4 linked regions of the Schizosaccharomyces pombe genome follow. The protein of the gene in region 1 binds, or shares a complex with, the protein of each later gene. Each region holds a gene or a part of one and is shown in the gene's direction. Other genes may lie near its edges. The genes, in order: SPOM_SPCC777.17C, mrpl15, mrp7 and img2.

Region 1 (7,748 bases):
TTTTTGTAATGGACGTTCATGAAGAGCGCTTCGTAAGGAGGGCTGGTTAATGATATGTTCGTTAATGTATTGAAAAACACGATCTGCATACTGGGGTTTATAAGGGTAACACCGCAAGAAAAAATTGAGGATGCTAGAAAGTATAGAAACAATACAATCTAGTGGAAGACCACTACGAGATTGAATAACTTCAACAACATGTGACCATAAAACCTCTTGAATAGCATATTCTGGAGGAATTACTTTATCTCCAGGGCATTCTTGCTCGTCTTTTTGCTGTACTTCCTCATTAATTTTTATGTCTCCTAATTTTTCGGTTACAGTCTCAGATTCATCTTCATTAGAAGAATCAGATTCATATTCACGTTGGACATAGTCCGTAAGGCGATTCAACATAGCGACCACAAGTTGGGTTACGTTTACGCTTGGAGAAAGCTTTATGACCGTACCGAAATATGTATCGAGGGTTTGAAGATGCATATTATCAGAAAACGCCTGACAAATTACTTCAACAAGATACTCTTGTGCAAGTGAGTCCCGACATTCAATAATTTGCTCGATTATGGCAGGAAGGACATGATCTCGGTAAGTGTCTATATCGAGGTTTAACTGAGATAATCGAACCAAATTCAGCCCAACAAGAACCTTTAGCTCATTCCTTTCTTGGGTACGTTTGGAAAATTCTTTAATTGGACCAAGATGTTGGATTCTAACCCACAATTTATTCATTTCCGTAAAGTTGATAACTAAAAATTTAACAGAATCGAGTACGGTTCCTTTGCGAGATGCATCTTCCTCATCTTCTGATCCCAAAGGTAATCCTTTTCTTGTTTGGGTAAGCAGATAATGGCGCAAAAAAAGACCTCTTAACGGATGCTGAACACCTCTACACATATCTAACAAATCATTCATAATTTCACGTACAAGGGCATTAGGCGTTTCCAAATAAGCGCTTCCAACGGTTATCATGAGATATAAACGAGGGACAATACTACCGGCATATTGAACAAGTTCATAAAGGTCCATTAGGTTGTGAGTACCGTTCAGATGCGTTTCCAGCAATGTGCCCCCAAGTAAACGCAAGCTTTCCATATTAAACATATACAGCTCATAGTATTGTTTTGGAGTAAGTGCAGAATTTCTCATTTCCACGAGACTAATACTGCAATTACGAAATGCATCCATCAATCGTCCTGTCTGCAAGTTTCTTTGCATCAGCCTACTAGACTGCTTGCAAATATTTAAGGACTCTTCCAAGCTCCTTGTAATTTCTTCGTTAGCAGTATTAATTCCGTTCATAGAGCCCTAAATATCCACTTCCAAGTGTTTCAATTTAACCAACGTAATTGTAATTTCAGTATAGTTTTACTAGCGGCCCAACTTTCGAACAGAAAAACAGGATGTTTGTTATTCTTTTTAATTCACTAATATTAGCAATGTTTTTTATAATGGGTTCGTTGAAATGTCTACAAATAAAGTTGGTGGTACTGGTTGAGATATATTGGTAGATCTTGAAGTATTGCGCGCAGCACAGCTTGGAATCGCGCTTCGCTCAATTTCAAATTGACCATTTTCATATCACAAATATCGCGCCTAAATAGTATATTATTTTGATAACAATTAAAAGAAACTATAAATCTAATCATCGGAAAGGTTCACACTACAAGATTCGTCTTAGACCTCTAAACTAACGGTTTTTGAATTCTACATTCAATTGAGAATTTATTTAAGCTGCTTTTCTTTTTATTTTGTAAAAACTTTCTTGACGGATTTCTTGGTGCACCCATTTAATTGAAATGAGTATTATGAAACCGACAACTCGATTTTTTCGCTTCAATTCCCTTGAACTAGCAGTCTCACCTTTTCAAAGAATTTATGGGCAACTGGTATGTCAAGCTTATAAAAAAAATCACCGTTACTTACACAGTTATTTAGAGGTTTCTTCGTAAACAGCCAAAACCGTTTTTGGTAAAACTGTTAAACAACGAAGTTTCAAAGCTAGGAAGGCAAGGTATGCTAAATTTTTCATAATTATAATGTTCTTCATTTCAAACCTATAATAGGGAGGTAGTGGTTACATCCTTTTATTATAAGAAATGCATTCTTTTAGCCGTCGTAGGAAACTACTAACTTTACAAAAGGTGATGTCGTCTCAGTGACAAGGGGATATTATCGAAATACACTTTTCCCCAAGAAGCAAGCGATTGCTGTTGATGCCTTAAAATCTATGAAAGCACATTTGTTACAAGGGTCCGAATTCTCGACGAAAACGAAGGAATAATAATACCTAAACTCTCACTTAGTTCAATCAACATAAAAAGAATTTATTGAGTTTATTAGTGGATTAATTAAGGCTTAGCTAGCTGCAATTTGAACAATTCTAGCTTTTCATTACGAGATATTGTTACATTACTAACAAGAATTACGAAGTATTCAGCATTGACTTTTTTCTATAAAAAAATATAAAAAATTTAATTAAAAGGCTTCACTAGAAGCGTAGTCTCTTTCTGAGTTTGAATATTATCGTTATTGTAATATTTTATCAGGGTTGATGCTTAGTGTTTCTCAATTACAATAACAAGCTTTGGATTTTCCTATAATAGTATAGTTAATATGAAATTTAAATCCTTGAATGGTAAACGTTTACTGCGTATTGTGCGGCCATCGTTTCTGCTCTATCAGCTCGTCTAGCATCTTCTTCTCACAGCTACCAACTATTTTGAGTTGGATCCAAAATCATCTCATAACTCGTGTTTATTATTGCTAAAGCAGCAGAGAAAATATTTTTCATTACCTTATTCAGCTTCAATGAAAATTAATTTGTTTTTTGTGTTTCTATTTGAACTTCTGCATTTCGTGGCAGCTTATAGTTGTGAAGGAGATGAATCAGCTGCCATTGAAGCTATGAATGTCTTACAGGTACCGTATGAAAAATACAACACAGACCCAGTTTGCGCTTTTGACAATTCCACCGTTGTCGAACTTTCAGATAAAACCTGGGATCATGTCATTGAATCTGGCAAATGGTTTGTGCAGTTGACTGCTGAAGGCTGTGCTAACTGTACTCTTGGAGAGCTACTTTTTAACGTAAGTAATGGACTGCATTTAATGTTGTCCAAATGCTCTTGTTATGAGATTGAATTTTGAGCCTCGGAAATAAATTAAACCATCTTTGGATTTAATTGAATCTGTACTAACTAATTTTAGGACCTTTCGCATGCTTTTCATGAAAAATATCCGGATGTCCACTTTGCCCGTGTTTACTTGAGCAGTAGCCTCGAACTTTCTGTACGCTTACTCATTTCTCGGATTCCTTCTTATTATTTCATCGATAATCAAAATTTCTACCGTGTTTCTCCTCAGGTTCTTCCCAAGAACAAGGCAATCGCCTTATATGAAAAAGACGGGTTCAAAAGTATGAAAAAAGAGCAAGGTTTTTTCTCTGTTAACGGGCCCTTGAAGTCCTTTTACTGGGTCTTTGGAAAGGCACTTGCACTTTACGGACACTTAAGTCAAAAATACACCCCTCTTGGAATGAATGTAGCTATTTTTGGGATCTCTGCCTACATAATGTATCGCTCTAGCAAAAAAGCGAAACAAAAACAAGCCGCTGCTGCTGCCGCCGCCGCTGCAAAAAAGAAATAAGCTATGTGGAAAATACTATTAGTTTTTGATAATATCAATTTTTTGAATAATTATACGAGAGTTTGTTACATGTTCTATATGTAAGGCACCGCTCTAGTAAAGGTTTATACCCTATTTGTTTCATTCCTTCCTTTTTTAACAGAACGTAGATTTTCCAACCTTATTGCTTGTTTGGAGATTCATTAGAGGAATCATCTTTTAGCTTAGAATAAACGGCAAAGTACTGCCCGTCTCTTTTCTTAGCATTCTGAAATACATTCCACGGCTCTTGATCGGGTAATGATGGTAGAGATTCCGCATTAATAGCATGATTCAAAGTACGAAATGGTTCCTTAATGAAGGATGTATCAAGTCTCTCAATTGCATGCATTTGAATGATTCCTTCGTTGAGTTTTAGAATTGTTCTTTCATTCTCTTCCTTAGAGTCTGCTTCACGAAGACCAACGAGCCTCAGCAAATGACCATACTCAGTTAAGCCAATTGGTTTGGGTGGATTTCCTTGGAGAATTCGTTTAAGTGAAACCTTTGAAGGTTTCAAAAATGGCATAGTGAAAAGGAAAATAGAGCTAATTACAAGAGAAAAATATAGTACAGGTTAAAAAAAAGATTCAATCTTAAACACTTTGTAAGTTTTTCAAATGCTTTGAAACAGCTGTCGAAGTTGTAGTCGGTTCCTACAATTTAACGACTAGGTTGTAAGTCTGGGTTTTTTTAGAATTAATAGTAAAGGAATATATTAAATCATTCGGTAAGTAAAGTCAATATAATCAGCTTCTCTAATTAGGAGAACTATTTTTCATTACTATGATAACCGTTTCCCATTCCCTAAATTTACGACATCCTGCGATGTCTGTATATAACTTTACATAGCAGTGTTCCAGTACGTAATATTGTTGAATGCTTGCGTAGAGTAACGACTTTATTAAAATTGGTTATTGCAATTGAATAAGGTAATATAAAATGCCACATTATTAGCACTTTAGGTGTCTACATGTTTCGCTATTTTTTAATGATGTATGAGAGTATTGTTTATACCCAAAATTGTAAGCGCATTTTCCATCCTTCTGCCTATTACAAGAATCGCGTAAATCATGAGAAAAATTTGGGAATTAAAAAAGAAAGAAGCTCAAAAAGAGAAAAATGCGTCAGGGATTAGTCCAGCACAAATCCGAATCCAAAAAGGTGCGACTCATCATGTTGATAACTTTTCGCGATTTACTCGAAACTAACCATTTTCGATGAATTTAGACGTTACAGATTTAGAAATCCCATCTACGATGTCTACAAGCTGGCCAGATCCTATAAAATTGAACGTGCTACATTTAGAAATCCGGCCTGACGAAGGTAAGTTTGTGATTCCGCATGAAAGAATATTTGGTGTAGACTTTTTGAGACTATTATTTTTTATTTTGATTAACATGAAAAGGGTATTACAAGGGTGGGAAATTTAAATTTCGAATCCAAATCGACGATAATTATCCTCATGATCCTCCTAAGGTTAAATGTCTAAACAAAGTATGTCAGTCATGCTCTAAATTAGAGTTGCAGCTTATGGTATATTTTTTGCATTTAAGAAAATAACCATTATAACATGTTTTGAACCCTTTCGTTCTGACCTACTGTTAGATCTATCACCCAAATATCGATATTGAGGGAAACGTATGCCTCAATATTCTGCGTCAGGATTGGAATCCAGTGTTGAATTTGAATTCTATTTTGGTTGGATTGCAATTTTTATTCTTGTCACCAAACGCAGAAGATCCACTCAACAAAGGTAGGTTAATTACAATTTTTTGGGGGGCAATGAACTATTTCTTGTTATTGCATTACAAGGAAATGATTATTCATCTCTTAACTATCATTTGATACTCATTTTTTCTACGATCCTTTATTATGGGATTTATAAGGTTCTTTACTGAGGACAATGATTATGATAAGCAATTTTAATATAAGAAATCTGGTTTGCTCCTTAACAAATTTTCTAGATTTATTTAACTATACTAACAAACGATATCTTTTAGAGGCGGCGGCTGATTTGCATAAAGACCCTCAAGGATTTGCATCTCGTGTGCGTACAGCCATGAAAGGTGGTCTTGTGAATGGAATTTCTTTTGACAATGTCATGGCTTAATTTTTCATCAATCTAAATCAATTCGATAAAGATAACCGACATAGATTAGACGACTGTCATGAAAATATTGATGTGTTTTAAATCTCGCTAAATCAGTCACGATTACGATGAACTTCCGATATCAGTATAAAAACACATAACCAGAACCAAACCCCCCTAATAAGCCCGTAACTGCTTTACAATGTTTCAAAGACGATCACTTCTCTCTGTTCGTTCGTCTGGTTCCCAAATCGCCTTTCGTCGATTTGTCAGCGTAAGTACAAGTTTGTTGATAGAGTATGCATTGTAAGTGCAACTGAACATACGATGGCAAATAATTAGACTATCATCTAATTCTGATTGTTTTCGAGAATTCTGTACTTTGCTCTTGTTTTTAGACAAGTATTGATGTTGAGAATGCTTCTTACTGACCCAACAAAATAAATCTTCATTTGTGCTTTCATACTGCCTCATACAGTACTAATTTTAATATTTCTTAAACTGCTTATTAACCAAGTTTAGCTTACCCACAAAGATCCAACTCCTGATACAACCAGTTGCAATATTATCAAGAAGGAAGGGGCGAATATTATATCAGTTTATGCACGCTATCCAGTCGTAGCTGCTAAAGGTGAGGGCTCCTATTTGTTTGACAAGGAAGGTCGTAAATACATTGACTTCACCTCTGGCGTAGCTGTTACATCTTTGGGTCATGCTCATCCTGAAGTTGCTAGACTTGCCGCTGATCAATGCTCCAAATTAGTCCATAGTAGCAACCTTTTCTACAACGAGCCTGCCATTGAGCTATCTAATGTCATTAATAATTCTTTGGCAAAAAATAGCGGTATTGCTGGCCCCACAAAAATTTTCTTTGCCAATTGTGGTACTGAGGCCAATGAGACAGCCTTGAAGTTCGCTCGTAAGGCAGCGTTTGAGAAGTATGGAGAAGGGAAGAGTCAAATTGTTTACTTTAATAACTCTTTCCACGGCCGTTCTTTGGGATCTCTTAGTATCACTGCGAACCCCAAATATAAACGTGGTTTCCAACCATTACTTCCTGATGTCGTCCAAGCCGTCTATAATGACCCTGCATCCATAGAGCAATTTGTCAATGACAAAACTGCGGCTGTTATTGTCGAGCCCGTTCAAGGTGAAGGTGGTATTTGTCCTGCCAAGCCTGAATTTTTGATTGCTTTGCGCAAGGCCTGTGATAAGGTTGGTGCTTCTTTAATCTATGATGAAATTCAATGCGGACTTGGTCGCAGCGGTGATCTTTGGGCCCATAGTATCGTTAAGGATGTCGCTAGTCCCGATATTATCACAGTTGCCAAACCTTTGGCTAATGGTCTACCTATCGGCGCCACCATTGTCTCCAGTAAGATCGCTGCTGAAATTCACCCTGGTGAACATGGCAGTACTTTCGGAGGTAATCCTGTTGCTTGCCGTGTAGGCACATTCTGTGTTAATGAATTAGGGTCATCCAAGATTCTACAAAACGTTAGAAAGCAACACAAGGCTCTTACTTCACGTTTTGATGACTTTGTTGCCAAATACCCTAATCTTATTCGTGGATATGCTGGTCGTGGTCTTCTTCTTGGTTTGCAATTTACCGAGCCCCCTGCTAAATTTATTGAGCTTGCTCGTCAACAAGGTCTTTTACTCTTACCAGGTGGAAACAACAACACCCGTGTCCTTCCTAGTTTGAATGTTAAAGATGAGGTTATTGCTAAGGGTTTGGATATCATGGAGAGCACTTTGAAGGCTTTAAGTAAGTAAAAGTGTATGTTTTCGTAGACTTGGTCATTGAATGGATTGGTTATATAGTGCGATAAAAAGTGATTATTACGAGAAATCTTGTTCCTCGAAAACATATATTAACCTTGCTCTCATTTGCCAACCAAAAAATTTTTTGATAGGGGGGTTACGAAAAGCTTAGCTGGAAGCTTTACATTGTAAATACTGGTTTTCGTTATTCCCTTTCTTTTCATAATCA
Region 2 (7,949 bases), on another chromosome or scaffold:
CAGTGTATAATTTAAGGCAGTAAGAGACGAAAGTAAAGAGGGAAAAGGAAAATCATGTACTGTTATCACTTTATTCTTCGTTGATTTTCTTCTTCTTTATAATCCCACTATATTTGGTGGATTCATAAACTCGGTTGGTCCATGTTTATTTTAATTGATTTTCGTTAGCTATCTTAAAAGAAATTGGGCGGAAGATGCATCATAATGTTTAAACCAGTTTAGTCTGATCAGACACTAGTAAAAACGAGAAAACAATACTTATCTACCAATGAGTTTTCAGGCATCTATAAATATCGTTCTAATAAAAATCGAAAAAACAATCACAACTAACAAGAAAATCTTTTAAGAATTCTCAATCTTTATAACAGTCAATTTTCTTAAATCTAAGCTAATGCTCGCGAAATTCTTTGGTAGCTCTGAGTTAATAAATCAGAAAGACAAAACAAATCATTCAGGTTGAGTACATTTATACAGTAAGATTCCAACCAAAGCTTCCATATATGATATCTTTTGTAAACTTAAGGAAAGAAATAACGAAGCGGAATGTAAACATTTATTAAGTGTTTATACGTTCCAATACGTTAGATCTTATTATAGCGATTATAATATCAATTTCATATCTATCGCCGTATCGTTAATGTGATATAACAATAGGTTGCGATAAGGAAGAGGTTACACGGTCATATAGCCATACTCTCAAAAGATTAGATAAATTAAATTTTAAGTAGTACTACCTCCTTTTTGCGTTGGTTGAAAACTTGAAAAACTGACTCTGTTTTAACAATTCTGAATGGCTTCTTCACAAAAACTTTGGGGCGGTAGATTTACTGGCGCCACTGATCCCTTGATGACAGCTTATAATGAGTCTATTCATTATGACAAGCGCATGTTCAATGCCGACATTGATGGCTCGAAAGCTTATGCTAAGGCATTAGAACAACGCGGAATCATTAGTGCTGATGAATTGGATAAAATGTTAGATGGTTTAGAGGCTGTCCGAGATGAATGGAAGACAAATAAATTCACTCTTCAACCTTCTGACGAAGATATCCATACTGCTAACGAGCGCAGATTGGGAGAAATAATTGGTACAGGCATTGCTGGTAAGCTTCATACAGGAAGAAGTCGCAACGATCAAGTTACGACCGATATGCGCCTTTGGCTACGTGATGAGTTGGACATCATCCAAAAATCTTTAGTTGGGTTACTCCAAGTTTTTGTTGCTCGTGCAGAGTCTGACCTTGATATCATTATGCCCGGTTACACTCATTTGCAAAGAGCCCAGCCTATTCGCTGGTCCCATTTCTTATTGTCTCATGCCTTTTCTATATTAAATGACTTGGATCGCTTGAAACAAATTTATTCTAGAGTCAACCGACTCCCTTTAGGCGCTGGTGCACTTGCTGGTAATCCTTTCGCCGTAGATCGTAAGTTCTTACAAAAGGAACTTGGTTTTGAAGGGGTTATTATGAATTCAATGAATGCTGTAGCTGACCGCGATTATGTTATTGAATTTATGTTCTGGGCTAGTATGGTAATGACCCATATTTCCCGTTTGGCAGAGGATCTTATTATATATTCTACTTCTGAGTTCAACTTCGTTACCCTTTCCGATGCTTATTCAACTGGAAGTAGTATTATGCCTCAAAAAAAAAATCCCGATTCTTTAGAACTTCTTCGTGGAAAGTCTGGCCGAGTTTTTGGCAACATGATGGGCTTTATGGTTTCGGTTAAAGGGATTCCTTCAACATATAACAAAGACCTCCAAGAAGATAAAGAACCGCTTTTCGATTCTTCCAAAACTGTTTTGGATTCCATTCAAATTCTAACCGGAGTTCTTTCTACTTTAACTGTAAATCCAGAAAATATTGCTAAGAGCTTGACTGCGGACATGCTAGCGACTGATTTGGCAGAATACCTTGTGCGTAAAGGTGTTCCCTTTCGTGAAACTCATCATATTTCCGGGTCCGCTGTCCGAATGGCCGAGGAAAGAAACACTACCATTGATAAGCTAAGTGTTGAAGATTTTAAATCGCTACACCCATTATATGAAGAAGATGTTGCAGATGTTTTCAACTATGAATCCAGTGTGGAGAAGCGTTGTGCGATTGGTGGTACCGCTAAGAGTTGTGTATTAGAACAAATCCAAACCATTAAAAAGGCCTTGGAGTAGATAAGTTTACATGAAATGATATGGATATACTTACTTTTTCTATATGTTCGTTTGATCATTTAACAGGGCTTCCTCAACATAATTCCCCGAATCGAGGTTTTTTGGTGTAAAACGGGCAAATAAATAATTGTAGCCTCATAATAATATTTTAAAAACACGTAACTTAAATCTTAAATCGTAAATATTCATACTGAATGAAGTAGTACTTTTAACCTTTCGTCTTTCTCCTTTTAACATTATCATCATCGTCAGATTCCCCTAACTCGTGAATATCTGCTGTATCGTCTTTTGATAATACAAGCCCGAAACCTGCATCAACAATTTGTCCGTCTTTTCCTTTCTTTCGCTCTTCTTCTTCTTTGCGTTCCTGAACTTTGGCAAGTCGATGAATTTGAGACATAAAATTCGTAGGTTTAAGATCGCTATATTGATTTGTATCAAAGACTTTCTTATGATAAGGCGCATCCAATTCATGATGACCTTTAAGCTGAAAAGCATCCTTCGCCTTCAACTCAGCAGGCTCTTTATCATTTTCATGAAAAGGATCATATTCTCCAACCTCCTCGAAAATATCGAGCTTCAAATCAACTGGTGGAAGTGGTATATCATGCTTAACAAAGCTTTTCCCTAAGCTATTAGCGTTCACGTTTAATTTCTCGGTTCTATGTTCATTTTCTAAACGTTCATTATCATTTTTTAACTTTTTTTCCTTCTTCACAAGCCGTTTTAGGATTTCACCATTTTCATCAAGCAAATATTTAACTTTTTTTCCATTTTCCAAAATTTTACGATATTTCGGTTGTCCATTAGGATAAAGAGGTATCTTCTTTTTTTCTTCTAGAATAGAAACAGATTCAGGATGTGATGACTCCTCAGCAACTTTCTCTAAAAGCTTGTCTGCTTCTTCGTCAACTTCTTTCTCACTCGAAGAAAGCAGAGAATCATCCAAGGCTAGCTCATTAGAGCGAACTTTTTCAAGCAATTTTCGATCAAGACCACGCACGAGATGAGTTGTATTCAAATCTCCGCCTAATTCTTTAGATTTTTCTGAATATTCTTTTGTCGTAATTTGGCCATTGCGAAGTTTCTCGTGCAATTTGTGCAACTCAATATCCTGTTTGGAAGAAGGCTCTTCATAAAATTGAGTATCTTTCCCTGAATTTTTTGCATTAGAATGTCTCGTAATGTCTGACGATGTAGAATGACTTAGTTGTTTTCTTTTAATTAGGGCTCTGGGTGCTTCCAATTTGGCCGTCTTATGTTTACGACCAAAAACAAGTCGCTGACTTTTATTCGATGAGAAATTTTTTAACTGGGAGGTTTCGGCTTTTGGAGTAGCTAAAAGCTTTCTGAAATCATCTTGGTTCATTGTGACAAATTTTCAACCAAAACTTCAGTATCCTTTCAATTAATTGTTTCTTTGGAATAACTTTGTAGTAGTTGTTTATATACACTTAACAGTAAAACACAAAATAAATTGTAAATTATTGAAACAGTTTGATAACATTAGCATACCTTGACGTTCGTACACTGTGATCTCAAGCGTAGTGCGCTATTTTACTACTTCGTAATCGGCCAATGTTTTTTAAAAACAACCTATATTCTAGTTGCAGAAAACAGATATCTTTTCTTTCGAAAAGTTGATTTTCCATACAAGGGTTTGAGGAACTTGAAGCTCTTTCTAAGATTTTATGCCATCCGTATGTTAACAAGACATTGTAATCGTTTAGGACTTCAAATTGAAAATAAATTTGTGTTCAGATCATCATCATGGAATTGTGTCCGTCGAATTGGGAAAATTGCGTGTAATGAAAATAAGTACAGATATGAAATGACATCTACAGAAGAAGACATTGACAGCTTTTTCAGTCGTGTTTTTGGTGAAAAAAATTACATCTCAGACAAATCTCTAAGAGAACAAATTGTAACTCATAAATCTTATAAACATGGGCTGAAAAGATATAATGAACCTTTCGTTTCGGTTGGAAATGCAGTTATCGATGTTTGCTTACTTAATCATTATTTGGAATCAGGAAACTTTAGCACAATACCTTCATACAAGGATTTAGTAAATCTTCGTTCCCCTGCTCGACTCGCTGAAGTTGCAAAAAAATGGAATCCTGAAACTGCCACACAATGTATTTTGCCATTAAAAGGGCCTAATTCTCCATCTTCGTCTAGTTTTGAAAAGATATACAGTAGTATTGTTTCCGGACTTGTTGCTGTCGTTTACTTCCAAAAAGGCGGAGTTGAGGCTATGAATTTTTGTAAGAAAAGCATCATATCAGATTTGACAAAAGATTTCGTGAGACCTAATACCGTGCATAATCAATAAGATGTGTAGCAGCAGGATAAAATTCTTTATGCAAAGGATGCCATAATATAGTACATTTTGCCATACGCTTATTATTACTATCGATTTATTTAACGCCTCTTTCATTCAGTCAGTAGTTAATAATATATTTCATATTTATCAACATTTGTATAATATAAGCTGCATCCCAAAATCTTATTGATCGAGTTGTAAGTCATTGGCATCCATTCACAAACTACGTTTTTTAAGCTCCCTTATCTTTTTCAGCATATCTGCTAAACACTGTTTTGAAACCAAACCGTCACGCATATTCTCCTCGTATATTAGATAATGGATATTTCGTGCCCATTGGTAGAGTCTACGACCTTGTTGCAGCTGGCGTCTGACTTGTCCGATGGTAGAAGGAAAAATTGCAAAAGGGATATTTAATTGGACCAAAACTGTTTTCAACATGTTGGCTGTTTCAACACTACACTGTTGATCTATATGCTGAAGGCCTAGCCGATAATAAAGTTGTTTTTCCTTAGCCAGATTAAATCTAGAATCAGGCATATTTAAGGAAGTAAGAGGCTGTGAGGTATGGAAAGTAGGGATGGTAGATGAAGCAGGTGTTGAGTAGCTTTTGTTCTTTTCGATCATTAACTCACTTTCATCTGACAATTTTGCATCAAGATTATTGGTATTAATAACATTTCTTATATCATTTTTTGCAGGGGCTGTAGACCCGTCATTCAGCATAGTATTCTCCTTATTATTTCCTTTGTCAGTAGTCTTTGTGGTTATTGCATTTTTTGAGCTTTCATTTGATTCTTGATCTCCATTTTGAGAAGTATGCCGAAGAATTTGTATCTCTTTACGGGCTTGGGTAAGTTCCTTACGCAAGTGCTCAAATTGCAAAAGAATAGCATCAAGTGTTGATAGCTGAACTCGTATTTCACTTGGAACCGCAATTTGAGATTTTTCATTATACCTTCCGTTGCCTTTAAGGTTAAAATCATTGCTAATAGTAGCAGATCGTACCTGCTTCGTATCAGGTTTTTGCTCTTTAAAGTCTTTTGTGCTTTTAGGGAATCGTTTTGGAGGACAAAGTGGAGTAGAAACAGTTGTTGACATTGTTGTGGGACAATAATCCTGCTGATTCATAAGCAATTGCTTGGTTATATTTTCAATCTGTTTATCTCTTTGTTGGCATTGATTTGATAAGGATTGTATTGTGGCATTCATCTCCAAAACAATATTAACAAAAGAAGGAGGTAAATCGGTAATGGCTTGTTTAAAAGGATCGATGTCTTGATCATTCGACGACATCTGTTTATTATTAGAAAGATTTTCCTGAGCCTTTTGACAATCCGTAGATTGGATAGGTTGACTAATAGAAGAAACACATGTAGATGAAGTAAGAGGATAGCCAGAAGGCGGTACTGGATATGACTCTGGTACAGTTTCCAAATGAACATTCCGATTTTGAAGCTCCGGCTGTGAGAAATGTTGTTGTGGATAACCTGAACTCAAAGAAAAATTAGGCTCAGGATTATATTGATTAGGGCGAGTGACTGGGGGTGGTACGTTACGGCTTGGTGGAACCTGTAAACTTTTTTTAGTCTCTTTAGATTGCTGATTAAACACTTCAGGGTCCAATCCATCTTGTTGATTAGGAACACTAATATTATCTCGTAGCTGTCCTTTTGGACTTTGGTCATAAGAGCTGGTGTGTGATTGAGAAGGTGGAAATGAAGGTGAATTGGAGTGCATATGACGAGCACTAGGTGAATCAATCACTTTCGGGGCGACATTCTTGTAAGGTGTACTAGTATAAGATGCTTTCTCCGAGTTAAACGAAGGCTCATGATGTCTTTGAGCATTTTGACTATTATCACCAAGTTGATGACGCGGATCCAGAAATAAGTTGTTTGAACCTGGTATTTGCTCTAAAGGAAGTCTTGTAGAGTCATTGGGGTTCGAAATTTCTTTTTTGGTGTTTTCTTTAATCGTAGTACTATTTACGCCATTAACAAGCTCACTTATTTGTTCATCGTTAAGTCCATCCAACAATTCAGCTATTCGATCAATTCTAGCGGTACGAGACGGATCTGCATCTACATAATATTAGTTACATTTTCAGTTGACAGACTTTTCGAAAAAGTATATGGACGTTACAGGTGAATACCCTTCAAGCCAAAATGTATGTCATAAACCAATTTCCCTCTTAAAATAGAAAACATTTAGTTCATCTACAGATGGAAGAAGACGGCATGAGTGTAATTACCCAGTGTTTTCAAAAGTTCACAATACAAGTTGACATTAAACTTTACCTACCTTCGTCAAGGGAGTCAAAGTATATACTGTCACCCGCAGATGGATGACTATCAAAATGAGAATGACCTAACCATCGGTAATCTGTACTCAAACTATCACCAAAAGCCTCATCCATTCTAAAACATGATTAAAAGGTTTAGTTTGTGAGTAGCTGACTTAAAACTAATATTGTTACCCAAGAGTGTAAGTCACATGCTCGAAATGTAAATAAACACCAGATAATAACAAAAAGTTGTTAACTAATTATGAGTATATAAATCATTCAAATGTATCATTAATTCTTGTAAATAAAAAGTTTTTCTATTAGAGTTACTAGAAAAAATGAATGAATTTGAAAAAGTGTAAAGGCAGACATAGCCCAAATCCGAACTTCTTGAAAGTAATGATTCTAAAGCCATTATATTTTCTAGTACTTAAACTTTAGTTTAATTTTATATTTATTGGAATTATTTTTTTTTCTAAAATACTCAAGTGCCCATAATCACTGAATTATTTTCTTTTTATTTGTAATAACGCAGCAAATATTTTTCCCAAATCGAGTATATAATAGAAATGTATGCGATATTTTTGTTACTGCAGTATTAATTCTATTTGTTCTAAACATTGTCCATAAAATTCTTTAAGATCACAGCTTTTTAATTCCACAATAGGTTATTTCTATTTCAATAGTTTTACTGGTTTCGTTGTCAATGAAATCAATAGAAAGCCATGAAGTGATTCACAACTTGAAAAAAATTTGTCTTATATTAAAAAATAGCGCTACAGAGCCCTAGTGCCCAAGCATAATCCATTATTTCCTTCGTAATTGCTTTTAAGCTATATAAAAAGCCATTTAAGTTTGTAAGGTTATCTTCAGAAAATTATTTGATAGTCCTTTGATATTGAAAGATTGATCATTGAGCTTTAACGAATGATAAGGATTGATTTTTAACTACAACATTGAAACTCTTCGTAGATCAACTAATCAATTCCATAATAAAGTGGGGTTCTAATATTTAAACACTATTCAAAGATCATATATAATAAGCTCTCTGACACTCTAAAAGGGTATATTCTTTACAGCCGACTATTAATAATAAAAACGATCTTTTCAAATGCGTCAACAATATTCATCCAGACTAAACATTTTTTTTACGTGATGTAAAT
Region 3 (7,824 bases), on another chromosome or scaffold:
TTCCCGATAATCGGTGGGTGATAAAAATATAAACCGCGACTTTCATGAAATGCTTTAAGTTTCTTAAAATAATCATAATTTTTTTCATAATTGAGACAACCTTTATTTAAACATTGGCGTTTTGACTGAAACTCAAAAGCGCCTTGATCAAGAACAACAGGTATTTGCCATCCCTCAGGTGGCAGAAGCTTAATTGCTCCATTTTTGAAAATTGTATGCCAATTATCTAACAAAAATTTAAAGGGATCAGTCATGTTCGAAGCATTCAACTGCACTGACAGTCCAGTTGAAAGTCCAAATGGCCTATTTGACGCGCGATAATTTTTGTCATTATGGTCACAATCAAATTTCAGATATGGTAATGAAAAGTTATCTCCTAGCTTTCTTATTTTCTTCTCTCTTCCTGATCCCATAGAATTATGTTCGTGCCACAAAAGCTGGCATATCATGGAAAACGGAAAAGTGCATAATCAATATACATGGAGAAATATTTAGAAATGCAACACCACCCTGTTTTAAAAATATATACCAAAAAATTTTACAACTTTTAAAAAATATTCTAATAAATTACATAAAATAAAAAACGCGTACATTGATGTATTTATCGTCGATAACACACCGTTATGGGATCGACACGACAGTATTAGGTGGAAGTAGTAGCTTAAAGCTTCAGATCGACATTAACGTAGGTACAGCTAAGCAAAACGTACTTTAATTAGTACTCCCTGTCGTGCTATGGCTGGAAGATCCACGAGAAAAAGATTTTATGCCAATTTTAAAAGTTTTTAACCTAAGGAAGTTTCCGAGTATAATCAAATCCAGTTAAAGCTTGACAATATCCTGATACATTATCCTGCGAACTAAGGCAGCACATATACTGTATAACTTGAAGCATATCGCTGTCAAGGTAGAATTTATGGTTTCTTCACAAGAAAATGAAATTTGCTGGTTCCTGCCACCAACTAGTAACACGAAGCACATCCGTTTTTATTCATAAATTTTTGCTTTGAGGAACAAAACAGTTGAAATTGCATTAAGACATCAATTAGTAGCACAGAAAAATCTATTATATGTGATTCCAGCTGCATACTTTAAAAGTTCAAGTAAAATTGAATATCATTGAGTAATAAAGACAATACAATAAAGGCTAAAACTTTGAAAAAGTTATATTTCTTTCATGCAGTCATTAATGCTGTTTGAATTGAAGAGCCAAGTGAATTTTCCATGATTAAAAAGAAGGATAGAAATTGTCGACGTAAATTTAGTGTCTTTTACTTTTTTTTTCATTAGCGATCATGCTTCCAATATAAACAAAGTAAATTGTAGGTAATGGTACTCTTTTAGCGAGATATTAGGAGTAAGGAATTTCAAACAGAAAATGTAAGGCTACACTATTGTAAAATAAGAATATTTTATACGATTACCACGACTCGTAAATTGGGATAAAGGAAATGTAAGGTAGAAACTTTCGAAGATTGGTTACAACGAATCCATCCTTTTAGTATAAACCAATATTTCGACGAAGATATAATTTTTTTAATATTTAGTATCCTTCTACATTACTAATTATTTGCCAAATCAGTTTAACACATTTTTCTTTTACAATACGTACTTCATTTGATGCAAAGTTCACCGTGCAATGATCAATCAAGGGCTTTTTATTCGTGTTAACAATTTTCAATTACTTAAAGCTAGTTTAGCTTATAAGAAAGCATCAAATATTCTCACTTTCCCTCCTATTCGTACTTCTACTAAACATGGCGGTGGTTCATCGAAAAACACAGGTGATTCTGCTGGTCGTCGTCTCGGCATAAAAAGGTCTGAAAACCAATTCGTTAGGGCTGGTGAGATCCTAATTCGACAACGTGGTACAAAATTTCATCCCGGAGATAATACCGGTCTAGGTAAAGATCACACAATATATTCTCTTGTTTCCGGATATGTTAAGTTTTTTCAAATGGATGTGTCTCTTCGCAAACGGAGGAAATACGTCGGTGTTGTTTTTGACAAAGAGACAACGTTACCAAGGCCCAAAGATGAACCTACAATTCGCCGTGTCAATAAGTATATAACTTCTGCTAATTCTGCTCAAGTTTCATGAAACCATGCGGAAACTCTCATCATCATACCTGCAATGCTCACTATTTAGAGATACTTCAAAAGGATATACTAATAATTACATGCATCAATGCCTTTGGATTTCCTTCAACTTAAGGTTGCACGAAATAACATTTTCTTCTTTTTATTATTTATTTAAACTCCCGTCACGGTCATCGTAGTTTATTACTGTCTAATGCTCAAAAATGTGAATGCATGATTAAATTTATAACTTATTTTGTTACTTTGTCTTGGGCGTATACAAGTTTGCGTATATGTCTTTCTTTTTCTACTGATTTATGCTTCTATTTTTTTCCACGCGAATAATTTGATAATTAAGCATTGTATATGTTGTTCTTAAACTTTCAAGTTTTTTCAACAAATATTTATAATTCGTTTCCAAAAAGTTAGCGTGTAAAAATCGCATTTGCCACGGTTTAAAAATCATTAAAAAAAACTGAACTTGTACCATATTATCTTTTCTGACATAGAATTCAGAAAGTTTTGACCAAACATACAGAAGGTTATTCTTTTTTTACATTTCATTTAAAAATTATTTTGGGCATTTTGAAGTTAGACTTTTAAGTATATCACCTACTATATAGTACCACACCTACTACAACGCAGTGCGTTATATTCCTTTATGTGCAAAAATTGTTGCAGTGTGCTGAGAGGTTTTATTGTTCGGAGTGCTAGCCATTACAAACTTCTAGTTTTGAATCCATTCACGCCTAAATTTTAACAATCGATTGCTAGTCAATTTGCTTACGCATGCTTAAATATAAAAACTAACGAGATAGCTTTTTTATACACTTTTTTCTTCACTTTTCTGTAGGCTAGCGGTATTGCTCTCAAACCCTTACTTTGCATACTCCTTTTCTTTGAAGTTCGTCTATTTAGTAGATAACCATATAATGCCAACCTGAATGAGCTTGAATGAAATTGCTCACGATCAACCTGTCGAAAATGGTCCTTTGTATTCTGAGAAGCAGGACCATACGGCAGTTGATTACGCGCTTCACATACTTTTCACCCAGTTTGTTCGACTCTCTGAACAAAAAATATCATTTCTTTCTCGTTATCATGCCAACGAAGGTAAGAATGCTGAACCTGTACGATTCAACGTTGGAGAGCAAGAAGCTATCCTCCTTCTTAAAAAGGGGGAAGATAATGAATTTGACAGATGTATTCAAGCTCTTGTAGCTTTAGCTAGTAGCAAACCGGTTGCCGTCATTGAATCCCTATTGTGTTGGAGAAAAGTTCGTGTTGATATTACAAGTTCAAGTGGTACTCCTCGGGTTGTTAATGAGCGGAGGAGTTCTATTTCTATCTATATACTTTGCCGTGTCTTGACTGAGATTGCTGAAACGATACCGTCAAATGCCTTAGAAGAAAGCACTGTATCTTGTTTATTAGAATGCGTTTTTCATCAGCTACTAAGCGCTAAAAATTTACCAGTTTCGTCATCCTATTTCAGTCTTGCTAATTGGGAAAGTTTTGCATTCCTTGTGGGAAGTATGTCTCGATTTAACTTCGTCATGGTATCAGATCGTTTTATTGAAGAGATTGAGCATTTGGAAAAGTCTGGCTGTGATTCCAGGCAAAAAGAAACGGTTCTTGTCCATCTCCTTAGAGCAATGCGTTATTTGCGTTTGCAGCTTTATCCAACAACTCTTTTAGAAGAGTCAATTGCTTTTTTGCAATCATTGACTTCCTTTTTCATGAAAGCCAACACAGCCTTGAAAATCGAATATGCATATCTTATGGAACAGTTGCTTCGACCATTAATCAGTCGAGCTACATTTGAGGTGAATATTCCTGCGTGGTCGCGCACCATTGAAACAATATATCCTGTAGTACTGAAAATGTGTACGAAAACTAAATACTGGAATGTTTTTTTCCCTTTTTGTTGTACACTTCTATGTCTTTCTCCCAAACAGTTCTTCCTTAAGCATTGGATATCCTCCCTTGATGCTGCTTTTTTTCGTGTTAAAGACAGACGATTAAGGAACACCGGTCTACCCCATCTTTCTCGTGTTGTATGGACTTACTCTAATCAGTATAAGGAAGAACCTTCCATAATGAATTCTAATATTTCTAATATTTTGAAATCGGGATTTTCGATTGGCAAAAAGTTTAGCGTGGTTCCATTCGCCACTTTAGAAGAATTGGATGGTTATGCACAAATTGTGCGTGTAGTCGGTGCTCATTTTCCAGAGCTTGTCATCAAAGAGATTTTAACACCTTTGTCTACTGATGCTTTTACCGAGAATATTGGCCCTGAGAAATTAATGATTGTTGTTCGGTCTGTTTATTACATTCTGCACGACATGAAGTACAAAAAATCGGATAGTACTATATTCGAATATATTGAATTTGAGTTCGTTGATTTACATGAAGTTGCCGTCGGAACTCCATTACAACAATTTGTTCATAATCTTTCGCAAAAGCTTCTATTCCTCGTTTTTCAGCTCTCCACTAATACCAACTGTTACCTTGATTCAAAAAATGCAACCAGTTTGCTTGCTTTGTACATTAATGCACTCAAAGTGTTTCCTTGTCTCATGGGAAAATTAGAACAACGTGTAATTGATGCATATGTTAAGTGTTTGAATTGTTCAAACAAAATAATCCATACTGTTTGTCATAACTCTTTGATATACTTTTCTTCTGGGCTTAAAATGTCGAAGTCAGTGATATCTTGTCTTTCTCGGAAATTGGTTAAGGGTTCAGAGTACTTGTTACGAACTTACCATGAAGTTATTAGAATTTGGATCAGTCAGCAAGAAGCAGTTATTGAAAAAAGGAATTCTGTCCTTAGTAATAAATCGTGTGCAAGTTCTGAAAGCAATACTCCTGCCTCTGTAAAACAAGATTATGATGACATTCAAAGTTGGACGATAATTGAAGAAATTCAATCACTTGGTGTACTTCATTTATCTTCACCATCAGTTGGAATCCGTAAGTTTGCAGTGGCTTTGCTTAATGATGTTAAGCAATTAAATACGGAGTATTTGATGCTTTCTTCAGATAAAGTTGAAGTTGGTGACATATATTCTGAACCGACAATTGTCGATGTTCTGAAAGATTGCGATTCTTCAATTTTGAGTGTCGAAAGTCACTTACCGACTGCTGCTGAAAGGTCACGATTGCGCAAGTTTATCAACGATGGAACCAAGGATATGCTTTTGAAACTAGCTACGTCAAACAGCGGCGTTGACATTTCAATATGGTACAATGTATTTCCTCGCTTTATAAAGGTTTGTTTTGAAAGATTTCCTACCACTATGGCATTGCTTAGAAATACTGTTTGTGAGAAACTTCCGAGTATTACTATGCAATTATTATCGCGTATTGAATCTTCGGAATTAAACTTTAACTTGAAGTCTGCTGTAAAAAATGATAATTTTCCTGAGTTTTTATTAGTTCAGTGGAAGCTGTACCTTATTGTTGCATGTTGTACAATTACATACACTTCTAACGTGGATTATTCGCACACTGACCTTAGGAGGACACTTACTGCTGTTCAATCTGGAAACCATTTACGTGGTTTACAGGAAACCATAAAGATAACTAGCGCAGAAAGTCTTTTTAGTATGGTATTGCCTCTCATTTTTACTGAATTTTCTCCTATACGTGAAGCTGTTGTTTTTGCTATTGGCTGTATAAACGTAAACGCCTTTCCACAATTAGTACGTTCTTTGAAGCCGTATATATCTGTGCTCAAACAGGATCATCAAGAGTTTATTTTTGCAGGCTTAAACTTCCCTTCTGTGAAGCGCCGTAATAAACCTGATTTGTTATTGCGATCTGAAATAGCTCACATTTTTGCAATGACATCACATCTCTTATTGCATGAGTTATTAAATGAAGACCGTGAAGCGTTGTCTGTTATATCTGAATTTTTGAAAGATTTAAAGGGATTTTTGAGTACTCCTAATGTCCAAGCAGATGAGAAGTATTTGAAATTAAGGTGCTACTTTTCTCAATTACTTGAGAAAGTATTACTGGTTCAGAATTTGCATCCGTCGTCTGAGGTTCTTCCTTTTTCGGGACGTGCTTCGTGTTGGAAATTATTGGATGAATGGACTGGATTTGGTCCTGCTCGTGCAATTACAAAAAATCGCGAAGAGCTAATGAGAGCTCATATACGCGGTAACAATAAAGATATTCGTGAGCGTGATAAGTTGTTAGCTTCATTTGAAGCTGGAAAGCAAAACCTCGAGTATTTGGCTATTAAGGCAATGATCGCGTTATGTACAGCAAAGCTACAACAGGAATTAACTGAAGGAGTGTTTTTGTTCGACATAGAGATACTGCTTAATTGGTTTACTGCTGTCTTTGGTTCTCCCTCCAAGGCTATAGTGGGGCTGGCTAGAAAAGGCCTGACCGCCTTATTATTAGAGAATAGCAGCAATGAAGTATTGCTGCAGAAGGTAATCAACCGTTGCTTTTCTAAAGAGATTTCGCAGACTATTTCTAATTACTATTTCTTGTCGCTTTCTGAAATGCTTATTCAAATAAATCCAAACAATTTGAGTAAACCAAAGCTTTTGCCCTTGTGTTTGGTAAACCTTTCCACGAATAATCTTTCGGTAAGGCTAAAAGCATTTGAGTTACTTGGAAATTTTCATCTAAATAATTTTACTATGACTGCATTGATGGAATTTAAAACATTCTTGGAATCAAGCAACCCCGCTTTATACTTGAAACCTCAATACTTATTTTCTGTACAGCTTGCTAGCGATTTTACTGAAGATTCATTCACTTTAACTTCAGAATGTTTACGTTATTTCAATTATGGTCATCAACATAGACGTGGACTGGTGACGGTTTTACTTCCGTGGCTACAAAATTTGGAGCTAAAGATGGATGTTGAAAACAAAACTTTCGATTCTTTTACGGCGGTAATTCTAATTGATTTGATTGAAGTCACTGCAAAGTTTACTAATGATTTACCTAACGAAATTGAGGCTTTATGGACCTCGTTAGCTCTTTCGCGTCACAAGTCGAACTGGACCGTAATCTTATTTTTTTTAATGCAACAGTGTTACCAAAGGAAAACTTTTTCTTTTGTTGACTGTACAAGACAGATTACTATTTATCTCGCGAAAACAGAACTTCTTTCTGATCTTTACTCTACCCTTCTGTCTTTTGTTTGTCCTGCTAATGTATCGAATGAAAACCAAGAGGTTTATAAATTTAGTCTTGAGGATTTATCTTCAACTTATGTTGCAAATTTAGAGGATTTGTTTCCCAGTGAAAAAAATCATATTTCCTACTCCCCGTGCCAGTTATCTTTACTATTATTGATGGATATTCTTCCAAATCCTTCTATAATCACAGTTACTGATGATGTGGCTACAATACTCCATGCTGCTTTTATACAATTTGATCATTATTCTCGCATAGTCCAAGAGCAATGCCAGCAGATTTTTCAGTATGTTGTACGAAAAGTTCTAGCTATGGAAGGAAGGTTAGATTATGACGACGCTTATTTTGATTTCAATGTAGAAAGCTCACTAATAACGGGCCTTCGTGGTAAAACCAAGAAGGAGGATGATTTGGTTAAATATCATAACATGATTTTGAAGACAATTGAGTTATTGAGTTCATCATATCCTGAGCTTAAACAAATATGGGGTGAGGTTGCTTTATCGTGGGCTACGACTTGTCCTTCTCGACGTTTGGCTTGTAATTCATTCCAGTTGTTTCGTTCTTTGCTTC
Region 4 (8,003 bases), on another chromosome or scaffold:
CAAAAAGAATAATCCACATTAACTCAATGTATCATTGATGACGGAATGTTGCTTATATAGCCAGAGTAACCCTGCTCTGAAGCATCTAAGGTTATATCTTTTTAACTTTTAGCTAGCAAACTCACTTGTTCCTTTAAGTTCAGAAAGTATCTGCTGGTTATTCAACAGATAATTATCTTGCGAAAAAGGAATACACACTCAGCATTGTAATTTGTTGAGTATATTTCACAAGCACATTAAATTGCATTATCAAACATGAGTGGGGATATTTTAGTCGGTGAATATCTATTCAAAAGGCTTGAACAATTAGGGGTCAAGTCCATTCTTGGTGTTCCAGGAGATTTCAATTTAGCTCTACTTGACTTAATTGAGAAAGTTGGAGATGAGAAATTTCGTTGGGTTGGCAATACCAATGAGTTGAATGGTGCTTATGCCGCTGATGGTTATGCTCGTGTTAATGGTCTTTCAGCCATTGTTACAACGTTCGGCGTGGGAGAGCTTTCCGCTATTAATGGAGTGGCAGGTTCTTATGCGGAGCATGTCCCAGTAGTTCATATTGTTGGAATGCCTTCCACAAAGGTGCAAGATACTGGAGCTTTGCTTCATCATACTTTAGGAGATGGAGACTTTCGCACTTTCATGGATATGTTTAAGAAAGTTTCTGCCTACAGTATAATGATCGATAACGGAAACGATGCAGCTGAAAAGATCGATGAAGCCTTGTCGATTTGTTATAAAAAGGCTAGGCCTGTTTACATTGGTATTCCTTCTGATGCTGGCTACTTCAAAGCATCTTCATCAAATCTTGGGAAAAGACTAAAGCTCGAGGAGGATACTAACGATCCAGCAGTTGAGCAAGAAGTCATCAATCATATCTCGGAAATGGTTGTCAATGCAAAGAAACCAGTGATTTTAATTGACGCTTGTGCTGTAAGACATCGTGTCGTTCCAGAAGTACATGAGCTGATTAAATTGACCCATTTCCCTACATATGTAACTCCCATGGGTAAATCTGCAATTGACGAAACTTCGCAATTTTTTGACGGCGTTTATGTTGGTTCAATTTCAGATCCTGAAGTTAAAGACAGAATTGAATCCACTGATCTGTTGCTATCCATCGGTGCTCTCAAATCAGACTTTAACACGGGTTCCTTCTCTTACCACCTCAGCCAAAAGAATGCCGTTGAGTTTCATTCAGACCACATGCGCATTCGATATGCTCTTTATCCAAATGTAGCCATGAAGTATATTCTTCGCAAACTGTTGAAAGTACTTGATGCTTCTATGTGTCATTCCAAGGCTGCTCCTACCATTGGCTACAACATCAAGCCTAAGCATGCGGAAGGATATTCTTCCAACGAGATTACTCATTGCTGGTTTTGGCCTAAATTTAGTGAATTTTTGAAGCCCCGAGATGTTTTGATCACCGAGACTGGAACTGCAAACTTTGGTGTCCTTGATTGCAGGTTTCCAAAGGATGTAACAGCCATTTCCCAGGTATTATGGGGATCTATTGGATACTCCGTTGGTGCAATGTTTGGTGCTGTTTTGGCCGTCCACGATTCTAAAGAGCCCGATCGTCGTACCATTCTTGTAGTAGGTGATGGATCCTTACAACTGACGATTACAGAGATTTCAACCTGCATTCGCCATAACCTCAAACCAATTATTTTCATAATTAACAACGACGGTTACACCATTGAGCGTTTAATTCATGGTTTGCATGCTAGCTATAACGAAATTAACACTAAATGGGGCTACCAACAGATTCCCAAGTTTTTCGGAGCTGCTGAAAACCACTTCCGCACTTACTGTGTTAAAACTCCTACTGACGTTGAAAAGTTGTTTAGCGACAAGGAGTTTGCAAATGCAGATGTCATTCAAGTAGTTGAGCTTGTAATGCCTATGTTGGATGCACCTCGTGTCCTAGTTGAGCAAGCCAAGTTGACGTCTAAGATCAATAAGCAATGAGCAAGCTATTGAGAGTGGAATTGGCAAACAAAGTTTCCTTTGATTTATATGTTTTTTATGATAAGCCCATTCAATTCATATAGTCTTTTAGTATAATGATTAGTTATTAAATTTATGTTTAAAGCAACTTTTTAGTTTAAAATTTTTCAAGTCAAGTTAGGGTGTACGTAAACAAACAATACCTTGGAAGCAATGAATGAAAAGGTAGAGTTAATCCAAACAATGTGGAAACCAGTTTCCTTGCATCTACTTACTAGTTTCGCAGAAAAATTGCTAAACTGCTTAAAAGCCAACTTTAACATTCTTATTTCTTACATAGGAGCTACCGTTCCATTCACATTGTGATATGCTAAGAATTTATTAGTTTTACAAAAATTGGGTGATTCTACTATTTAATACAGTGGTTTTGTAACGTAATGAAATTATAACGCTCGTTTATTACGATTTCCTAGGTAATGTAGCGGGTAAAGGCAATTGACTGATATTATGTATCACTCTATCACAGCAACGGACGAACGGTTTGCGTTGTTGTTTATAAATGGTTCTGCAACGCAGCTTCTGACTTTGACACTCTACACCACACCATACTTCAGCGCTCTATTCTTTCGCATAGGAAGGTAAGCTGCATTTCGTGGCGTTTGGTACCTTGAAAAAATATATTTTGGTTAATATTCGTTGGCTTTTTCTTTTAATTCTTGCTACTAATTCCAAGAATTGTGTAAGTATAGGAAGAGGCTGTGTTGATCGGTTAGTTTCGTAATTTCGGCATACTAGTGATTCCTAAAATACCGACTACTAATAATTATAAAGCTTAGATCACTTCTTTGGCTAAAGTAATTAAACCAGGAAGTCTTAAAATTCCGCTTTTTAGCATCCTAAAAATTTCCCCGTCATTTCTCAAAAGTGTTAAACGCGTGAATGTTCTCAAAGCTCTGTTTTCTTTTCTTTGCTTTTTGAACGGCTTTGTCTTTGCATTAATTTTTGTGACGCGTTTTGTGCCTCCAATAGGTAATTAATCTAAATCCGTTTAAAAAGTTGTAGGTGACTTTTTATTTTATTACGTTTTGCTTTCATAAAAAAATCCATTTCCTTCTGTGCGTTGCATATTCATTAATATATCACTTTGATATACATTAAGGTGAATTAGAAATTATTGAGCTCCTCTCCCTTTGTTATTATTTCACGCTTTTTCTCAGGCCCACTTATAGTCCTCTGAGGAATTTTTTATCTTTTTTTTTAAAATACCAACTCAGTTTTTGTCGAGTGATTCTTCTTTTTTATTCATTCATTCGGTTAACTAAGTTCCCTATATTATTTTGTTTTCTACTACAAGCATTACGTTTTGTTTTTCAGTGAGCTTGTTTCGCATCTCTGACCAAAAGGAAGCAAATTGACGGCTAGTGTATTTTTGACTCGTCACATTCTTTTGTCTATCTTTGCCAATTTTTCAAATTATTATATATCTTCGAGATTAACCTCCATTCTTTAGGCTTATTCTCGTAATTTCCTTCTCAATTGAGTTCAATTTTATTAATATTGATTTCATCTGATATATTTTTTCCTTGGACTTTTTCTAGATTATATTTGTTTGCGCGCAATTTACTTATTAAATATGCCTGAAGGAGCCGGTAGACCGTGGAATCTCACAGAACTTGAAGAAGAGAAGTTGAAGACTATGTGGAGTTATTTGTTTAAGCTCTTCGGCATTACTTTACTCGAAAGAACTGAATCTTGGTACACAGTGAAGACACACTTATCTGATGATTCAAGTAGTTCCTCATCACATCGTTTAAGCAGCGTCTCATATGCGAAATCCCGTACACGACTTGAACTAACGTCTTCATCTCATGGCTCGGACACTCGCAGTTTTAATGATAAAACCAAAAATGTGCATTTGGAAAGAGTTGAAAAAATTGCAAGTGAATGGGACCCGGAAGGGCTTAGAGTTTGCTTTTGGGATGCTGTTAATTGTGATGATCCTGATGGCCTTCTACTTCGTTTCCTTCGTGCTCGAAAATGGAACGTTGAGGCTGCGTTGGAAATGTTCATGAAAACCGTTCACTGGAGAAGTAGAGAGATGAATGTTGGTGAAATTGTATGTAACGCTGACCACCTTGATAAAGATGATGATTTTGTGCGTCAACTAAGAATCGGAAAGTGTTTTATATTCGGTGAAGATAAACACAATCGTCCAGTTTGTTATATTCGCGCACGTCTTCATAAAGTTGGTGATGTCTCACCCGAATCGGTTGAGCGACTCACAGTTTGGGTCATGGAAACTGCTCGTTTAATTCTCAAACCTCCTATTGAAACTGCTACTGTTGTTTTTGATATGACTGATTTCAGTATGTCCAATATGGACTATGGGCCATTGAAATTCATGATCAAGTGTTTTGAAGCACACTATCCCGAATGTCTGGGTGAATGTATTGTACACAAAGCGCCTTGGCTTTTCCAAGGCGTTTGGTCCATCATCAAATCTTGGCTTGATCCAGTGGTTGTCTCAAAGGTTAAATTCACTCGTAATTATCGTGATTTGCAACAATATATAAATCCTGACAATATTTTAAAAGAATTCGGTGGGCCTAATCCATGGAGATATACATATCCAGAACCCTGTCAAAACGAAGCAGAAGCTCTGAAGAATGTTGAAGCTCGTAAGAGTCTTAGAGCAAAAAAGGATGCAATTGCTAAACAGTACGAGGAAGTTACAATGGATTGGATTTTGAACAATGGTGACATGGCAGAAGTGAAACAAAAACGTCGTAAGTTAGCTTCACAACTTATTGATGCATACTGGAACTTGGATAAATACATCCGCGCACGCTCAGTTTACGACCGCATGGGCCTAATTGCTCCTCAAACTTCCCATACTTTGCTTCTTTCTCAACCTACAAATGGAGATGTCAAAGAATCAATGGTAGAAGTTACTAGCTCGGCAACTTAGTCGGTCGTAACTTTCAATATTCCTGCTATTTTACATTGTAATCCTTCCCCTTGCCTATACTCCCGTATACTGACTAATTGTACTTTCCCGTGTTATTCTAAATAAGATGCTGGCTCAAAATATGATTGTATCATCTATTAATGCATAACTTTCAAGATCTTTTATATCAATTAGTTACATATGAAATCTCTTTCCTACGTTGATTTTTACACCCCTTTTCGTTTTACCATTTCCTTATCGCTTTAATTTTTTAGCACTCTCTTTAATGCACTTAAAATCATCTAGAAAGGGATAACTTTTTTTAGGTCTTATGGCTTTTCATTGAAGTTGTTGGTCGCAATACTTATCCATCCATTTTGTCTTTATTAGAATCAATGATCAGTTTTATTTGCAAATTAACTTAGATTTCTTGCTATTTATTATTATTTTTTATTTTATTGTAGGAAAGCGGTTCGAAATTAAAAAAAACAACAAGCTGAACACCTAAATGCCTACTCCAAAATATAGTATTAATTTAATGAGTATGCACCTTCGCTGAAGTATATTCCGTGCCGTAAAAATACTTTCGAGTTTAAACACGCGTGAGGTTCAAGCACCGATTAAATTTATTTAAAACAAGAGCGTTTTATTTTATTTTAATTGTTCTTAGTGAATCACTTAATCTTAGGCTCCTGTTTGACAGTTGTTTAAAACTTACAAATTTTTGGAGGTTATGATAGAAATCCTCTTTATTCGCGAATGCACGACGACTTCTTTTACACATCCACCATAAATTCCTGCAACTCGTAGAAAGTTTTGTTGAACCAAATGCGATCATCCTTAAAGCCAGTGCTATCAAATTTGAGGTTCAACTCAACAATTGCATCCGAATCACTTCGGTTTCATGTTTCACGTACACCTTCAAAAAATCTCCCAGTCTATCTAGACTACAAACAACGAGGAACGAAAATTCTGACTTTAATTCGTAAAATCCATGGTGATTCTAATGTAAGTATACATATTCCGTCAGCAGTAATCTCTTGGCTAAAGAAAGTACAAGTAAAGTCACTATGCTGCGGAAATTGTTCTATCAACTTTTTGCTTTAACGGCCAACCCAAGTTTATTTTAACTTCTTTTATTCGTTCTCTTTTTTTTTTCTAACAATATTTTATCAATAGGCTTTGCGGCTCAGGCTCATTTCCACACTTAAAATGTCACCGAAAGATGTTTATGTAAACAAGTTAACAAATCAAGTTGTCCTAAAGGGAAATCACATAGTCACAGTTCGTGAATGGTTACAAGACCAAGGTTTTTAAGTTCCTAGAATTTTTCCTTTTTTAGATTGTTACTATGTATGTACGTATCCTTCTTTCAAAGGAATGATAAAGTTGCTTTTTATCAACATAAAACTCTCGAGCATATATATCAATTTGGCTTTTTAGCATATTACTTTTACTTCATCTCCTTGTTACAGCGGTGATAATGTCAAATAAAACACAGCTGTTGCAAATAATTAATCTCGATTCATTTCTTCTCATCATACGTGGTTTTCAAACTTGACAATGGAAAAAATGCATCTTTTGTGATGGTTTTCCTTAACTACCTTTAAATAAATAGTTATTCGAGCTTCAGTAGAAACATTCAAGAGGTACTTGCGTAAAAAGAAATTCAAACATCTGCTTAATGTGAGGCGTCCAAATGCTAAATACAATCTTTTTTTTGCTACCTATTCGTTTGTTTTGTTGAATTTATAAACGCTTAAAGGAAATTATAATATATATATCGAAACTCCGGTGTTTTTATTTTTTGACTGTAGTTATAGACAGAATACGTTTAAGGCTATTAGGGTATATAACTAAATTAAAAATTCTTTTCTCAATATTGTATAGTTTGTAAATTGACAAATATTAAATGCTATATCGAAAACATACCTTCAAACATAATCTATATATCTGCGTCATACGCCCATGGACTGTTCTTTACCTTTCCCTTCACACATACTTATAATCCTGAAATCTCAACGACTTTTTCATTATTTTTGAATTGAACTTGGATTTGTCTGTGATAGGAATATTTTGACAAACATTTTTAGCTTTTAAAATTTTTGCTTTGTTCTGAAGACGTTGATTTACAATTTGCTTATGAATTAATTATTCACGAGAAGAAAATTCCTTGTAGTTTATCCCTTTTTTATTGGTGATTATAAGCTGAATAACTCTTAATGTTGGGAATTATATTTTCTTTAGTGAACTGAGGCTTTCTCGAAAAATACTTACGGTTATCCATGATTTAATGATTTTCTGTTTTTTTTGTTATTTTTTTTTCGTTTATCAAAAAGTGGTTAAGCATTGACACGATATAAGGCACTTTATTTCCGTGTTGAATTTTTTGTTTTGTTTTTTCTTGACATTAATACCTTACTTTCCTTGAATGCGAACAAACCGCATTCATTTGTATTCGATTATCGAAAGCCTTTTATTCCTTTTCTTTTTCTTTTTTATTAATGCCAGCTTGTTATTGTGCGACATCAACGTCTCTTGAAAATAATGAATTGCTATACAAAAATATTCGAAACTTGTTCTCTACTAGCAGGAGTTTTCCAATCGAACAAGAATGGATGAATTTGAAATCGATAAGTCAGATGAAAGACTTTTTTTCAAACTTTCCTGGTAATAGTAAGGCGAACAACCACTTTCTCTGTAATTCTCCATTGAAATTCGAAATTTTTAACAATGAGAAATCTGTTAAACCTTCAAATGGGCCTCATCTGTTCACGAGATGTTCATGTCGTTGTAATAAATTATTGTCTGGTGATTATATAACTCAACAACAACCAATTGATGCTTCTGCTGAACATTCTCTTAACGCCAAAGGTATAAATACCTATTCATTGAAGAACTGCTTTCAAAGGAGTGGTTTTATAGGATCATACGAGGAGAGTTTGTTTAGTGGTCACATGCCTTACTGTTCATCAGTACCTTTTGAGTTTTCCATAGAAATTGGGGTTATTTCGTTTTGCCGATGCAAGCCTTCACTTGTTTTCCCGCCACATTTAAAAATAAATTTTGTGGCTTACTCACTCGTTGGAAATGTTGATAATGTGCA

Evidence for each region.
Region 2: SPOM_SPCC777.17C (region 1) and mrpl15 share a complex: the UniProt entries of both Schizosaccharomyces pombe proteins name them as parts of the mitochondrial large ribosomal subunit.
Region 3: SPOM_SPCC777.17C (region 1) and mrp7 share a complex: the UniProt entries of both Schizosaccharomyces pombe proteins name them as parts of the mitochondrial large ribosomal subunit.
Region 4: SPOM_SPCC777.17C (region 1) and img2 share a complex: the UniProt entries of both Schizosaccharomyces pombe proteins name them as parts of the mitochondrial large ribosomal subunit.

The regions. Positions count from the first base shown.
Region 1 is NC_003421.2:1,613,107-1,620,854, reverse strand, and holds SPOM_SPCC777.17C (mitochondrial ribosomal protein subunit L9), read left to right. Parts: upstream 1-1,796; coding exon 1,797-1,886; exon of another isoform or gene 1,887-1,935; coding exon 1,936-2,011; exon of another isoform or gene 2,012-2,141; coding exon 2,142-2,281; 3' UTR 2,282-2,709; downstream 2,710-7,748. Other genes in the region: retromer complex subunit Vps35, read right to left, coding at 1-1,299; SPOM_SPCC777.12C (ER stress response thioredoxin family membrane disulfide oxidoreductase), read left to right, coding at 2,809-3,087, 3,208-3,645; protein Gta3, read right to left, coding at 3,806-4,192; NEDD8-conjugating enzyme Ubc12, read left to right, coding at 4,737-4,827, 4,894-4,989, 5,072-5,160, 5,272-5,419, 5,667-5,776; arg1 (acetylornithine aminotransferase), read left to right, coding at 5,958-6,029, 6,278-7,531. UniProt on the Schizosaccharomyces pombe protein: Component of the mitochondrial ribosome (mitoribosome), a dedicated translation machinery responsible for the synthesis of mitochondrial genome-encoded proteins, including at least some of the essential transmembrane subunits of the mitochondrial respiratory chain.
Region 2 is NC_003423.3:4,359,609-4,367,557, reverse strand, and holds mrpl15 (mitochondrial 54S ribosomal protein mL57), read left to right. Parts: upstream 1-3,766; 5' UTR 3,767-3,875; coding exon 3,876-4,508; 3' UTR 4,509-4,676; downstream 4,677-7,949. Other genes in the region: arg41 (argininosuccinate lyase), read left to right, coding at 791-2,173; SPOM_SPBC1539.02 (uncharacterized protein), read right to left, coding at 2,382-3,542; SIN component scaffold protein Sid4, read right to left, coding at 4,716-6,583, 6,804-6,918. UniProt on the Schizosaccharomyces pombe protein: Component of the mitochondrial ribosome (mitoribosome), a dedicated translation machinery responsible for the synthesis of mitochondrial genome-encoded proteins, including at least some of the essential transmembrane subunits of the mitochondrial respiratory chain.
Region 3 is NC_003423.3:2,856,440-2,864,263, reverse strand, and holds mrp7 (mitochondrial 54S ribosomal protein bL27m), read left to right. Parts: upstream 1-1,503; 5' UTR 1,504-1,639; coding exon 1,640-2,101; 3' UTR 2,102-2,785; downstream 2,786-7,824. Other genes in the region: Lid2 complex histone demethylase subunit Lid2, read right to left, coding at 1-449; morphogenesis protein Mor2, read left to right, coding at 3,024-7,824. UniProt on the Schizosaccharomyces pombe protein: Component of the mitochondrial ribosome (mitoribosome), a dedicated translation machinery responsible for the synthesis of mitochondrial genome-encoded proteins, including at least some of the essential transmembrane subunits of the mitochondrial respiratory chain.
Region 4 is NC_003424.3:585,342-593,344, forward strand, and holds img2 (mitochondrial 54S ribosomal protein mL49), read left to right. Parts: upstream 1-5,725; coding exon 5,726-5,905; exon of another isoform or gene 5,906-6,076; coding exon 6,077-6,214; 3' UTR 6,215-6,811; downstream 6,812-8,003. Other genes in the region: pdc202 (pyruvate decarboxylase), read left to right, coding at 256-1,971; csr102 (sec14 cytosolic factor family phosphatidylinositol transporter), read left to right, coding at 3,584-4,918; SPOM_SPAC3H8.04 (chromosome segregation protein), read left to right, coding at 7,402-8,003. UniProt on the Schizosaccharomyces pombe protein: Component of the mitochondrial ribosome (mitoribosome), a dedicated translation machinery responsible for the synthesis of mitochondrial genome-encoded proteins, including at least some of the essential transmembrane subunits of the mitochondrial respiratory chain.